Rattus norvegicus: one gene and its partner. The protein of the gene in region 2 interacts with the protein of the main gene of each other region in a pairwise test. Links are inferred from orthologs where the notes say so. Each region holds a gene or a part of one and is shown on either strand. Other genes may lie near its edges.

Region 1 (7,175 bases), on a different chromosome or scaffold from region 2:
GCTTCCTAGGCAAGCGCTCTACCACTGAGCTAAATCCCCAACCCCCCAGAGCCCCTTTCTACCTCCTGAAAATCATGCCTCATTTCTGCTAAGAATGCTGGGGTTCCCTAACTAGCTACCTAACTGCTGGCTAGACCTGTGGCCCCTTAGTGTGCTGTTGAGGTCTTTGCAATGGTCATGTGATATGTTGAGCTGGGTAAAAAAGACTAGAGGGTAACCAGATTTGTATGTGAGAGAGGTGATATGAGGGCTCAAGAAGGGTGGGTAGTGACAGAGCTAATTATCAACAGTAAAATCAGGTATCAGGGGAAGATAACTAGTTCCACCGGGATGAAGTGAGTTAACAATGGGGTATAGAAGAAACCCTAGACCTAGACTATGGGTCTGAAGCCATAGGGTCTGTGCAGACTGCTGAAGAAAGGACAGTGGTTACAGACACATGGGTAGGGAACTTCAGCAGTGCCTGGTTTTTTGTTTTGTTTTGTTTTTTTAATGCACTTGAAGTCATCCTGGGGACTGGGCTGGAGAGATGGCTCAGTGGTTAAGAGCACTGACTGCTCTTCCAGAAGTCCTAAGTTCAATTCCCAGCAACCACATGGTGGCTCACAACCGTCTGTAATGGGTTTCAATGCCCTCTTCTGGTGTGTCTGAAGACAGCTACAGTGTACTCATATATAATAAATAAATAAATCTTTAGAAAACACAGTTGTCCTGGGAGGCTGGGAATAGAGCTTTCAGTTGCTGGGGTGCTTGTCTGGCATACACACGTGCCTGAGGTCAGTCTCCAGCTCCATATAAATTGGGCATGATGACACACACCTATACGCCTGCCACTCAGGAGAGAGAGGCAGGCGAATCAGAAGTTCATAGTCATCCTTAGTAAGTTCAAGGCTAGGGTGAGATACGTAAGGTCCTATCTCAAAACAAAACAAAAACAGCAACAACAAAACCAAATAGGTGGGGCTGGAGAGATGGCTCAGCGGTTAAGAGCACTGACTGTTCTTCCAGAGGTTCTGAGTTCAAATCCTAGCAACCACATGGTGGCTCACAACCATCTGTAATGAGGTCTGATGCCCTCTTCTGGTGTGTCTGAAGACAGCTACAGTGTACTTATATATAATAAATAAACAAATCTTTTAAAAAAAAAAAAACCAAATAGGTGGGCTGGAGAGATGGCTCAGTGGTTAAGAGCGCTGACTGCTCTTCCAAAGGTCCTGAGTTCAAATCCCAGCAACCACATGGTGGCTCACAACCATCTGTAGTAAGATCTGATGCCCTCTGGTGTGTCTGAAGACAGCTACAGTGTACTTATATGAAATAAATAAATTAATCTTAAAAAAAAAAAAGGGCTGGAGAGATGGCTCAGAGGTTAAGAGCACTGACTGCTCTTCCAGAGGTCCTGAGTTCAAATCCCAGCAACCACATGGTGGCTCACAACCATCTGTAATGAGATCTGATGCCCTCTTCTGGTGTGTCTGAAGACAGCTACAGTGTACTTATATATAATAAATAAATAAATCTTAAAAAAAAAAAAACCAAATAGGTACTAGGGATGGAGACTTACATTAGGCAAGTATAATCGATGAGCTTCAGCCTCATATGTGAAGGCTTCCTGTAGCCTGAAGCCAAGCAAAGGTTCCGAGGAGCTTGTGCTCTTGAGCCCCATAAATATATGCTGCCCTTTTTCAGCCCCAGGAGAAGCAATGGCTTTATGTTATTTCCTCTATTTCAGAATTCGGAGGAACCCCCACAGGCCAACTTTGGGGCCATTCCAAGGATGTCGGGTGACTCTTTGATATCCTCACCTAACCCACCGGCCCTCAGCCCTCAGCCCTCCAGAGAGCATCCCGAGCAAGAACCCGAACTGGGGGGCCCCTCCACAGCAAGTATGTATAGAGTGTGGTATGAGAGGGTCTCCTGGACCGCTCACATGAAGGTTAGGGTTACAGTTACCACTTGGCCTTCCTTAGATAGGAGGCAGGGTAGAAATAAAAGTGTGTGTGTGTGTGTGTGTGTGTGTGTGTGTGCTGTGTGCATACCTGTGTGTGTAGTAGTAGCAGCAGCAGCAGCAGCTTAAAATGCAGTCATTCATTAGCACATGGCTCAGCTGGGTAGGTCTTCTGATCTTGCTGATTTTGTGTCGGGTGTTCCCTGACATATACATAATGTTCTACTACATCCATTGGCTGGTACTTCCTCATTCTCTCTTCCTCTAGCACAAAAACCCAACTCACAGCATCTGGGTAAGGCTCTGGGTAAATAAAAGAGAGGCAGAGCTCTGAGCTTAGGCTCAGTAATAAGGCAAGAGGTCTTATTACTCCTGCTCTGTTCTGTGGTCAAAACAAATGATAAGGCCAGCCCAGATTCTGAGATTTTTTTTTTTACTAGATTCTGGTCAAATCACATTGGAGAGTGTGATTTTTGCCCTGTGGGTGTATAGTTTTTGTACCTTGCTGCATGTGGGAGAGAGCTAGGGCTATTTCTGCACTCAGGTAGAAGGTAGTGATTGCCCAGGACCTGAAGACGGGAAGGACACCTTATGGGTAGCTAATGAGGGAGCTCTTCACAAGGGGATGTCTGGTTCCCAGCTGTGGTTTGAATGAAGTGGCTCCCATAGGCTTCTACATCTGGATACTTGGTTCCCAGTTGGTGGAGCTGTTTAGAAAGGACTATGGGGTGTAGTCTTGTCAAAGAGGTGGGCTTGGAGGTTTCAAAAGCTCATGACATTCCCAGATAGTGTGCCTTTGCGCTCTCTCTCTCTCTCTCTCTCTCTCTCTCTCTCTCTCTCTCTCTCTCCCCCCCCCACCCCCTTCCAAGCCCATCCCCGCCTCATGCTTGTGGGTAAGATGGAAGGTCTCAGCTACTGCTCCAGTGCCTGCCTCCTTGCTGCCATGCTCCCTACTATGACGGTCATGGACTCTAACCCTCTGGAACGATGAGCCCCAAATTAAGTGATTTCTTATATAAGTTGTCTTGGTCACAGCAGTAGAAAAGTAACCAAGACAACCAGAAAAATCACTAAAGTGGTTCAACCCCAGATAAGTCAGCCAGGGTTCAGAACCTGGTGTCCCCCTCAGGACTAGAGTTTGTCCACCCCGACTTCCAGGCTAGAGCGGCTCACCTCTACTTCCCAAATTGAGTTCTGTTTGCTCTGTTTGTTACTGGTGCCAGGTGAGCCCTCAGTGCCCTAGGATTGCCATGTGAACAGTTAAAGGTTAGAGGAAATTGTCCCAGTGCCCCCAACTGCTTTCACAAATGGCACTTGGTTGAAGTATGTCTGTAAGCACGGGCTCCGGGAGATTTTCTGTCAGGTTTAGGGAGAGATGTCGGACATCACTTCTGACCTTTGTCAGTGATGGCAAATGTATCCTCAGAGTTCTGGGAAGAGTCTGTCGTCATCAGCTCTATGCACTGTAACTTCCTGCTACTTCTGTTTCCCCAAATCAAGCTCCCTTTCTGGGACTACTAGGTCCCTATCCTTGGGGACATATGCCTGTGGGTCAGTTGACTGGTGTTAGCGGTTCTATTGAGCCATCCTGCCACTGCTTGCCCTGATTCAGGATTGCTCCTGCTAGAAGGTAGTGAGGGACAGTAGTAAGAGGAATGTCTCAGGACATCCACGCTCATGCCCCAGGACAAGGTAGAAGGGGCTGAAGTGAGAGAAGAGGCAAGTGCTTAGGGTCGATGGAAAAGGAATAATTTATACCAAGGTTTAAGCTCTTAGGTGTGGATGAAGGTAGAGCCCATTTTACTTTGATGATAGGACAGACTAGGGTTACAAGTTAAGGGCTGAGGGGCAAGAGTCTTTTCCATGGGAGGAGATTGGGAGGCAAGATGTGGAAGGGACCATGTGATCAAGGACATGGGGACCCTTCTCTAGCCCTTAAGTTAAAACCATCCTTTGGGTTTGTTTCTGCTTTTCTCTCCCCACCTGTAGATGTTGACTCTGTTCCCATAGCAACCTATGGACCTGTGTCTCCAACTGTTTCCTTCCAGCCCCTTCCACGTATTGCCCCGAGGACAAACCTCTCGCCTGGGGTCACAGTATCAGCTCTATCTGCCAAGACCACTTTGTCCTCCTCTTCTACTGGATCAGCTTTTGCAAAGGGAGCAGGTGACCAGGCCAAGGCTGCCACCTGTGTCAGCACTAAAGAGGGAGTACCTACCAATTCTGTGACTACCAGCTCAGTGCCTTCCATCAAACCAGTACCAGTAAATACCATGTCTTCCAAGTTGCCCATCAGTACAAAGTCCACTGCTGCAACGCCCTCTACTGTGCCCACTAATATAGCGCCATCAAAATTACCCATCAACTCAGTATATACTGGCATAGTGCCATCCAAAGTGACTGCTAGTGTGGCCAAAGCAAGTGCCAGCACAATGCCACCTGAGAGGAACAACAAGCAAGCCAAGGTGAGTCCTTGTTCCTCCTAATAGTGGCTCAGGCTACTTTGCCAAGACAGCTGGTCCTTGCCCTCAGACCCTTTTACTTCCTGTGCTGTCCCTGGTCTGTTTCTTCAAGGTGGTGGGACAGATGGGAAGCAGCCAAACCCAGCCCTTGCACCTTGTTTTCCAAGAGGAATGAGAGTCATGAGCCCGCCTAAGCTCGGACTAAGTAGGGTGGGGCATGGGACTTCCCCCACTGGCATGTCTGTTAACTCATTTGGAGCTTGAAGCCCCAGTGAAGGTCAGCAGTACCATTTTGTAGCTGGAGTAGTGGGGACTAAACGTGATGGCTCATGTGTCCTAGTGCCCTGTTCATTCGACAGTGTTCTCAAGCATCCTGCTTGTAGTAGCTTCTCCAACCTAGTGACCCCTATAGCCATTTTCCCCACGACCATACAACTGTCTACCTAAGGGAACCAAGTTTGTAAACCTCAGGATCTTGTGCCTGCCCTGTGGCTCTCAGGCCCAGGTAGTACAAGATGGTTCACATGCCAGCAAGGGCTCCCTCTTAGTGGAGCTCACAGCAGTTCCGTGAGTGGGAGAGGGCTGCCCTGGAGGGGTACTGCAGCATCTTGGTCACCTACTCAGCTGTGTCTTATCCCCAAGAGAGGGTAATTTCGGCTATTGTGGGATACTAGTTCAAGCCCTTGCCACACCCTGGGTTATCTCCTGTCACCTGAACCCCTCTTCTTATGTTTGCAGGAGACCCTGGAGGCTCCAGCAACCGTAGTCACCACTGGAAGCAGCCTGACCAGACCAGATATCAGTTCCAGGAGCTTGCACTCTGGGCCAGAGTTAAGCAAGCCAGGGGTGCTGGTGTCCCAGGTGGACAACGAGCCATTCTCAGCCTGCTCTATGGACCTTGCCATCAGCCCTAGCACCTCCTTGGGCTCAGAACCCAACCATGGTCCAGAGGAGAATGAGTATTCATCCTTTCGAATCCAGGTGGATAAAAGTCCCAGTGTTGATCTGTTAGGAAGCCCTGAGCCACTAGCCACCCAGCAGTCCCCAGAAGAGGAAGAGCCTTGTGCCAGTTCAGTGTCCTGGGCTAAGTGGCTGGGGGCCACCAGTGCACTCTTGGCTGCATTCCTGGCAGTGATGCTCTACCGTAGCAGGCACCTGGCCCAGTGAAGCCTCAGCTGTATGCCACACTCACTTGCTCAGTCCTGCCAAGCATGCCCTCTAGGCTTGGGGTGGTAGATATGGCGAGGTCCACTGAGTTATCCAGGTACAGGTGCTACCTGTACTGAGGCGCCATCACTATGTGGTGGGGGAAGAGACACTGCTTCTATCCTGGTTCATGTCATCTTCTGGTCTTCAGCTTTTGGGGGCCCTGTATCCCTTCCATTGCTTCTGACCTGCCCACAGGGCAGGGTAAGATTGCATGCTATGTGCTCCTAAGGAGGTATCCCCACCAGACTCATCCCTATTGGCCCAAGCCTGAAGATGAGGAGGCATTGCACTGTTGACAGTGCCCCTCCTCTCACCCAGGTCTCCTGAAACACAAGCGTAGAATAGTGATGAGTGGTCCCGTAGCATCCAATGCCTTCCACCAGCAGCCTGGCTGAGGCCTCGGCAGAGTGCCTGGGAGCAGCAGAGCAGCTGGTCTCTTGGGAGCTTTGGGTGCTCTGCCCCTTTGGTCCCTCTCCCCAGCCAGACAGCCCTAAGGGTGGGCCTGGAGGTTCTCTGTGGACTCCAAGAAAGCCAGAAGCAGCTCCCAGGCCTGAGAAAGCCCCTGGGAGCCTTGCTCCAGCCTCCTTATCCCAGCTCTTCACTTCTCCCCTCCTGGTCTCCATTCTCTTTGACCTCCTACACTGGATGATGAGATACCTAGTGGGCAGAGCTCAGGCTGGGCTTGGATCAGTTCCACCCTTTCTCTGCCTTTAGCAGATGTTTAGCTTCTCTAGTCTTCCTCCCAGTGTGGACAGTGGGTAGCACTTCCTTTTACTGGGCTCCTCTGAGTTTGAAGGATAGAGATATTTGCCTAGTGCCTATCCCCGAGGGTGTGAGCACAAGTTCTTGCCGTCCTGCCCAGGCTGGTAGAGCTAAGGTGAGAGCATGAGAGACAGAGTGCACAGTGGTAATAGCACAGTCTTTGAGAGAGCAGCCTTCGCCTCCATCGTGCTTTTGTCTCCTCCCTGGTCAGGTGTAGACCTTACCTCTGTGCCTCACTTTTCTCACCTGTGAGATGGGGTGAATATGCATATATATGCTAATATATTCTAGTTTTATTGGGATTAATTAAAAGAGTTTATCTGTACAAATCTTGTGTGTTCCAAATTTCTTAAAGGTTGGATACATGTTATCACCACCCCACCCTAGACTGTTTCTCTGTGTAGTCCTGGCTGTCCTAGAATTCACTCTGTAGACCAGGCTGGCCACAAACTCAGAGATCCACCTGTTTGTTTCAAGTGCTAGGATTAAGGGCATGGGCCACCACCATCTGACACATCATCACTTTTAAAGAAAAGGTACCTGGTGAGAGATAGGTCTTAGCACATTCTTCCCTTCTCGGTGAGAGATAGGTCTTAGCACATTCTTCCCTTCTCAGTGGGCAGGAAGTCTAGTTATTCCTATAGCAGAAATACAGTTAGGCTTAGGCTGGCTGTGCTCATGCCTTTAATCAGCACTCAGGAGGCAGAGGCAGGCAGATCTCTGAGTGAGTTCAAGACCAGCCTGGTCTACACAGCTCCAGGCCAGCCAGTCTCCAGACAGTGAAATACAATGAT
Region 2 (8,268 bases):
CTTTATTCCCTAAATAATACAGTACAAGAACTATTTGTAAAAAAATTTACATCAGACTCAACAATACTAGTAATCTGGAGATGATTTAAAGTATGCTGGAAGAAAGTGTGTAGATTATATATAAATGCAATGTCATCTCATACAAGAGACTTAAGCAGCCTGGATTTTGTTCTCTGTGAAGGGCACTCACCCTGGACACCAAGGGACAACTCCTTATCAAGTGAATGAACCGACATTGAACACTGAGTTGTAACTGACAGACTGAAACCCCGAGGAGGGCAAGCTCAGATGTTCCTACAGAAGAGCAGCTAAGTGGAACTCTGGAAGACTGCGGCTCTTCTTAGAAGTCACCTGACTGGAAATACCTGAGGCAGTGGGTCGGGTGACCCTCCGAGTTTGTGATCTAGGTATCTGAACATGATCTGGTTGTACGGGTGGTGTTTGCTGGTGTTATGACACTCGTCGAATATCATCAGAGTGAAGACAGACAGCGAGGGGATGGCTCCATTGTTGAGACTGTTCACAAGAATCTGGGGTGTCAGGATGACGATGTCATTGTTTTCAATGATGTGCTGCACTGACACATTATCAGCCGTTGCCCCCGAAATGCCGGCGACATTGTACCTGGGAAGTGACAGAAATCCCTTATCACCAACCATGTTGTGAACAAAGAGACAAAGTGGAAGTCTAGGTCACAGCAGCAATTAAGGAAGCGCCCCCGAGCCCCAAAGAGTACAGCTGAGGAGCACTCGAGCTTTCTCACAGTCCTGATGCAAAGCCAGGGACCAGGAAATGCAAGGGGTTATAACTAACTGATCCAATGATCACAATGTTCCAAGTCATTAGAAGATAAACGATTTTTAAAAGAGTAATAGCCAATAAAGTATAAAATCATTAAAAATGACCAGCGTGGGGGGGGTGGATGGGGAGGGGAACAACCTTATAAAAGGGGAGGGGGAGGAGTTAGGGGGCTGATAGACAGGAAACCGGGAAAGGGAATAACATTTGAAATGTAAATAAGAAATACCCAATTTAATAAAAATGGAAAGAAAAGAAAAGAAAGCCATTGATGATCGGAGATGAGTTTATAGATACAAGTAAGGGCAACCACAGGGCGAAGTTGATTGACTTCTGTTGCATTTGTCTTCAGGAAGACGGAGGTAAACGAAGGTACTAAAAAAAACCTGAACACAAGCTACAGAAATGACCTCGCTTGTGTATCCAAGCAAACCAAAGGGATCAGAGATGGGGGAGGAGCAGAGGGTGCAGAGAAATTATACGGAAAATCTAAAATCACTGTAAAATCAGACATAATGATGATATTCACAATAATTCTATAAATGACAAGGAACGTGATGTTTTCTGCAATACTCATCAATAAAAGAAAGATAAAATCAAAAAAAAAAAAAAAAGACCAGTGCATCACCTAAATGTTAAATTTGGCCACCAAGTTATTAATGGTCAGAGCAATCCATGAGGGCTTAGCATTTCTGGTAAAGTTAAACAAAGAATGTTATTCCACAAAGGAACTACTTCTAAAAGTTAAGTCTGGGGTAATTTTCTTTCTTTTTTTTTTTTTTTTCCGGAGCTGGGGACCGAACCCAGGGCCTTGCGCTTCCTAGGCAAGTGCTCTACCACTGAGCTAAATCCCCAAACCCGGTAATTTTCTTTTAATCATAACACAGAACAGCGAGGCCTGCCAAATGCGCTGGAAGGTAGAAGCAAAAGGATCATCTCGTCTAGGCCAACCTCAGCTACAGAGTGAGTTGGAGGACAGCCCCAGCTACGTGATACCCTACAACAAAACCCCCAAAACCAGACAAAGAGGCTAGAAATTTAAAATAAAAACAAAAGACGAAAGAGGTTGGACTGATCGTAGTACATACCCAAATCTTTCGAAATATCGTGAGAACACAGTGGCCTGCTGTTCATACACAGGGATCTGGTTAGCAAAAAAGACCACTTTCCCTTTCTGTCCGTGCGGAAAGTTTTTAAGATGATGTTCGCATATGAGAAGCGACACAAAGGTTTTTCCACAACCTTTTAGCAAGGGAAGGAAAAAGAAAGAGATAAGCGGTGTTAGCTGTTTTTCCAGGATGGTAATTATTTTTGGCTTCTGTATCACCATTGGGATACAAATAAACGAATCCTTCCTCTGCACAGACAGTGACACTTTAAACCATGGCTTAAAAATGCCACCTTCTCCCTAAGTAACATGCGTTCAAGGAGCAAGGACCAAAAGCAAACTAAAAGAGGGCACTCATCTCCCACCGGCTTCCTTGAGAAACACAGAGAGATTGCTGACCGGACAGCTCTCCCAATGGCAAATACGGAAAAACCCCTTGCTTTGCAGCACCCAAAAGGAAACGAAAAAGCAAAGAGAAGGTTCTGTGAGTTGCAGCAACTAACTCACCAGTAGGAGCACATATTACTGTATTTTTCCCTTTCTTGGCAGGCAGGGCAAGCTCCAGTTGGTAATTTCTTGGTTTCAATGGGCTGTGTGAATTATTAGGAGACGCTTCTGTAATACAGAAGGGACAGAGTTATTGAAGGGTTTGTGCCATTCAGTGGACCTGAGTTCTGATCCTAGCAACAATGCCCCATTTGAGGAGGTTTGGGATCTTGCTTCTTAATAATTGTCCCACTTTCCCCTTTGAAGGACACTCTACTCTCTCAATGACAAAGTATCAACAGCAAGGAGGCAGGGGAAAGGCCAAAGTGAATTATTCTTCCTCTCTCTCTCTCTCTCTCTCTCTCTCTCTCTCTCTCTCCCTTCCTTCCTTCCTTCCTTTTTAAAGATTCATTTATTTATTTTATTTTATGTGTATGAGTACACTGTCACTGTCTTCAGACACACCAGAAGAGGGCATCAGATCCCATTACAGATGTTCATGAGCCATCATGTGGTTGCTAGGAATTGAACTCATGACCTCTGGAAGATCAGTCAGTGCCCTTAAATGCTGAGCCATCTCTCCAGCCCCGTGACTTCTTTCTTAATCATGGAAACATTACTAAGAAAAAGGAAAGCAAGAATGGCCTAATTCAGAACATAGCCACTTGTTACAAAGTAAGAACAGATCTTCAAAAACAGCCAGAAAACCAGCTGTTGGCACCAGGTTCTCAAAGCAACTGAGTGTCTAACCGTCCCACTGTAAAGAAAGACTTTCTAGGTGAAGAAAATCGCCTTTGTTTAAAAGTCATGTATGGATCACTGTGTGTCCGAAATATTTAAATCGACTGTGTATCCCTAGGATGAAAACCTGTGTCATTCACTTGCTGACATCATTTGTAAGATGTGTGTGTGTGTGGTGTGTGTGTGTGTGTGTGTGTGTGTGTGTGTGTGTGTGTGTACACATATATATACTGTTTTTAAGAAATCACATCTTTTAACACTATTCATCATTAATATATCTCCTTCCTGATATATATTTTTTACAAATGTTTTGTTTGTTTGAAAGTTGTCTTACAACTTTCTGGTCTCTCTCTCTCTCTTTTTTTTTTTTTTTTTTAATTAATGCTATGTATGTGAGTACACTGTCACTGTCTTCAGACACACCAGAAGAGGGCATCAGATCCCATTACAGATGGTTGTGAGCCACCATGTGGTTGCTGGGATTTGAACTCAGGACCTCTAGAAGAGCAGTCAGTGCCCTTAACCACTGAGCCATCTCTCTAGCCCTCTAGTCTCTTTATAATAAAGGTGTATTTCAAGGAGCATTAGGGCCCTCGTCCAACCACAGGTAACAGAACAGTAGCCTGTGTGTGAGAAGTTACTGTGAGCCCACACACAGAGGCTGCAAACAGCGGCCACACAGTCACCTCATGCTCTCGGACGGCAGCCCTGGCACCCTGAGACGAGACTGAACAAGTGGCTCAGAAACAAGTATTCTTCAGAGAGAAAAGCTGCTTTGGGATGCCACGGGCACGGTGGTACATATAAAGACACATATACTCCAGGGTAGAAGGCTATAAAAGCAGCAGAGGCTATGGAAGACGGGAACCAGAATTCTGATTATAAGTCTCTATCGCCCCACAAATTCTCTTTCTTTTCTCAATCATCCTTAAAAAGGATTTTTTTTTTTCAAAAGGCTTCAAAGTGCTGGGGAAACACCATCATGGACAAGAACAAGTGATGCTGGGTACCTGAAGGAGGGCCGGGATTCTGACTGAGATTCTGACACTCCGGTTCTTCCTGAATGAAAATCTGTATGCTGGCCATCTCTGTTCCGTCATCCTCAACAGCCTTACAGTCAACCCTTCTGACACCTTTGTGAAGACAAACAAACATACAAACAAACACAAATAAGAGCTTAGAATCTTAACGCTATGTGATTACGGTTTTGGTTGAGGAAGCCCCGAAAAGCTCTTATAACCATGACTTCACAGTTTCTTTCTTTCTTTCTTTCTTTCTTTCTTTCTTTCTTTTTTCTTTTTTTCTTTTTTTCTTTTTTTCGGAGCTGGGGACCGAACCTAGGGCCTTGCGCTTGCTAGGCAAGCGCTCTACCACTGAGCTAAATCCCCAACCCCTTCTTTTTTTTTAAAGATTTATTTATTTATCATATTTATATATGTACACTGTAGCTGTCCTCAGACACACCAGAAGAGGGCATCAGATCTCATTGCAGATGGTTGCGAGCCACCATGTGGTTTCTGGGATTTGAACTCAGGGCCTCTGGGAGAACCGTCAGTGCTCTTAACCTCTGAGCCATCTCTCCAGCCCGCTTTGCAGTTTCTCAACATTTTATTTACTTTTGAAATGGATTTGTTTATTGTGTGTGTCACACATGACACAGTGAGTATGCGGAGGTGGAGGACCCTGTCTGGGGATTGGTTCTCTCTATCATGTAGGGCCTAGACATTGAACTCGGTTCTTCAGGCTCAGTGACAGGAGCTGAGCCATCTCACCAGCCCCACTTTGTCAGCTTAAAACAGCAGCAAGAATCATTTTGAGTTTGAAGGTCACTTGGGTGTTTGAATTCCAGTGTCGCCTAGAACTACGAGACTCCAAGTGTAGAACGTGCAGCTATTAGCAGTGCGTAATCGGAGTCCCTCCCCACTCCATAGCTCAGGACAATGACGCAGGAGAGTCACTCCTGAGCACACTAAAGGGACACTCACGATTTCATCTCTGACCAATGACATAGACAGTTTCTGGAATGACTGATGTTCTAGGTGAGAACTGAACCTAGAAACTCGGGTATTTATCAAGGTCTGGTTTAAAGCAAGAAGTGACTTTCCGGAAGCCAAATAAGGTTGGCTTAATCACAGCAAATCTCTGTTTACGCCTTGCTCTGTTCAGTTCCTGATGGCTTCTGGACAAGAGAACCAGTCAACAGCTATCACTCCCAGCGCTCGGCCTCTACTCTGACAGGGAGATAAGTCTCGCAGTTCGAACCTTTAGGTCTAGAACTCTTATAAATCTCGGCAGGAAGCCTTTATTCTTCCTTCTCCAAATTCTTTGACCTGGGTGGGTTAATTCCATGACTTGTAGCTCCCTTCCTCCCAGGACCCAGCTTGTGTCTTCCCACCGCTTGTGTCCTAGGGCCACGGCTTGAGGTATGTGAAGTGAACAGCGTCTCTGATGGAAAGTAAAGTCGGGGAGAACTGTGGGGCCCAGCATGGTTCAGAGCTCTTTCTCAGAGCAGCCCACCTTTATCGACGAGCCACAGTTCACTAAACTTGCTGTTGTCTTTCTCCAAAGCAAACTGCAAAACCTTTGGCCAGTTCTCCTTATCGGATCTGAGAAGACATTGGACCATCTTCTCCGCACCCGCCATCCTCCCTTTAGTGAAGCAGATCTGGGGGAGACAAAGGCACCACACTGATTGGCCAGCTCAGCCTTTCTCCTTGCAAGCTTTGCTAAAGAAACCACATCTACTCAAGCAGTTCTTGGTAGAGATCACTGTGAGCTCTGGTCGAGGGGCCTTAGCATCTTTTTTTTTTTTTTTTTTTTTTTTTTTTGCCCTACCCAGCACTAGCTTTTAAACTATTCTTCCCTTCACCTTTGTCCTTTATAACGGGCTATCAATATGTCAAGGCAAATGTTATCTTCTGAATCCTTACATCCATTGCCTCTGGCAATCCCAGGGTAAAAAGTTAACCCAGACAACGACCGACCCGTTCACCCTAAGGATATCTCAGCATACAGAGCCATTTGGAAACGCCTAACAACACAGCAGCAGTTTGGTTTGGTTTTTTTCAAAGCAGGTATTCTATGATTTTTATTTCTAATGATCACTAAAATGCATGGTGTATATATTGCTATGCATCAAACTGGCAGATATACTTAGTGCGCACCGTCTCGTTTCACCCTAAGAGCATGCTAATAAGGTACATTTTTCTTCCATTAGCTTCTTAGAGAAGCTAAATGGATTGCCGAACACTAGTTAAGGGACTGAGAGACTGTAATAAATGTAGCTACACGCCAGAGCCTGGCCTATTTTTCTTTTCATTTGTTGCCCTGCTTGACGTGATTTGCATGTGCATAAAACACTATTCAAAGAAAAGGTAAGGGGGCAACTTGAACTGCAAATAGGTCAATTTTCCAATAGTCTTGCACAGAAAATTACCCCATTCACTTTAAAAATTCTATTCTAGTCATTATGTCTTCTAGATGAGAGCTTTTATGGGTTTCGATTATCCTTGGGCCTAAAGCACGACAGAAAACGGGGCATTTCCAATGTGTCAGCATTTTTCTTTAAACTTAGTACCTGTACTGGCTTACCTGTCTGATTTCTTCACATTCCTGATTAATCAAACATTCAGATATTTCAGAAAGGATATCTGTCGGGCTAACTGTGGCCTTAAATTCCGGCTCTAAACGTCTTAAAAGTAATCTGTGTTCCTCTAACTTTTCAAGTTTTTGAAAGTCCCAAGTTTCGATGGCTTCATAAAGTCCACAGTAACCTGGAAAGAAAGAAAAAAATGGGGATTTCTTAAAGCGAGCCCAAGATAAAAACGCTTTCACATCAAAATCACAGGAATTCTATTTGAATACATGGTAAGGGAACTCAAAACCATCTGCAAACACGGCCTCAGTCACTGGACGACGGACAGTCTGGGGAGCAAGCTTGGACGCTAGCTGGTGGCGGCCTTTGGAGGTGACCACACCATGCGGGTCCTGACGTCATCAGTGGCAGCACACTGAGTTCCTACAGAAGGACTGACTGAGAACCGTAGCCCCCTGGCACAGCCTTTGCCACCAGAAAGTGCCTCGTTCTTCCACACATGCTCCCCCCAGGATGCCCTGCCTTATGACACATGGGTGGGGAAGCCACAGATCCACTTGGCTCTCATTTTTCTGCCTTTTATTTCTTCAAGCATTAACTCACAGTAGTTAAAGTCAGCGAATACAGCTATTCATGATTTTCAAAAATGGAAGTAATATTCATTTTTGGTACCCAACAGTTTAGGTCTCCTAAAAGTCATTATCCTTCAGGGTAAAGTCCGAAGGACCGATATGAAGCCTTGCATTTGCCCTTAGAATAACATCTTTAAAATGCCCCTCCATGCACTCCATGCATCAACCCACAATTTATTTTTTTAATATTTATTTTTATTTTATTTTCTGTGTGTCTGTGTACCACGAGTGTGTCTGGTGCCTTAGGAGAACAGATGAGAGTCAGATTCCGGGAACTGAAGTTACAGATGATTGTGAGCCACCATGTGGGTGCTGGGAACCAAACCTGGGTCCTTTGCAAGAGCAGCCAGTGCTCTCAAAGGCAGAACCATCTCCTTGGGCCCCTTGATTTACTTTTAAATTAGTCAAACCCATCCTGTTTAGCCTCTCAGCTGGAAACGGTAAAGAAGACAAGAGGAAATAAGAATCTTACATCCTGCCCTTCACACCATTCCAAGAAAAGATTAAGTCAACGGTCAAGTGAAGAAGGAAAATGACTTCCACCAGAAAGAACCCAAGAGCGCCTGACTCTAGGGTTCTTGGACAGAATCACCAGGCTGCCTGCCTCTAAGACCCACAGTTACTTCATTCAGGAGCTTGAGAAGACAATGGTTTTCTCCCCTATGTACCCAAAACCCAAACCAATCAAAGTAGCACCAGGACCAGGAAGGTAGCTTAGTGGGTAAAGTGCTCACCACACAGGCCTGAGGACCTGAGTTCCTACCCCCAGCTCTCATGCAAAAGCAGGCATAGCAGCGAGACCCTAGAATCCCAGCCAGTCTAGCCAAAAAGGGTAAATTCCGGGTCCAAAGAGAGATCCATTCCCCAAAACATAAGGTGGCAAGCTCCTGAGGAAGACACTTATGTCA

What was found. The genes of interacting proteins can lie anywhere in the genome.
Region 1: the proteins of Rig1 (region 2) and Mavs interact in binary tests that used the Homo sapiens proteins (3 or more experiments, as listed by UniProt). The link is inferred for Rattus norvegicus from reciprocal best matches to the Homo sapiens genes RIGI and MAVS.

The regions. Positions count from the first base shown.
Region 1 is NC_086021.1:138,912,420-138,919,594, forward strand, and holds the end of Mavs (mitochondrial antiviral-signaling protein), read left to right. Parts: intron 1-1,732; coding exon 1,733-1,886; intron 1,887-3,937; coding exon 3,938-4,413; intron 4,414-5,148; coding exon 5,149-5,577; 3' UTR 5,578-6,706; downstream 6,707-7,175.
Region 2 is NC_086023.1:60,146,764-60,155,031, forward strand, and holds part of Rig1 (antiviral innate immune response receptor RIG-I), read right to left. Parts: intron 6,907-8,268; coding exon 6,725-6,906; intron 5,799-6,724; coding exon 5,651-5,798; intron 4,267-5,650; coding exon 4,144-4,266; intron 2,522-4,143; coding exon 2,414-2,521; intron 2,041-2,413; coding exon 1,887-2,040; intron 625-1,886; coding exon 366-624; intron 1-365.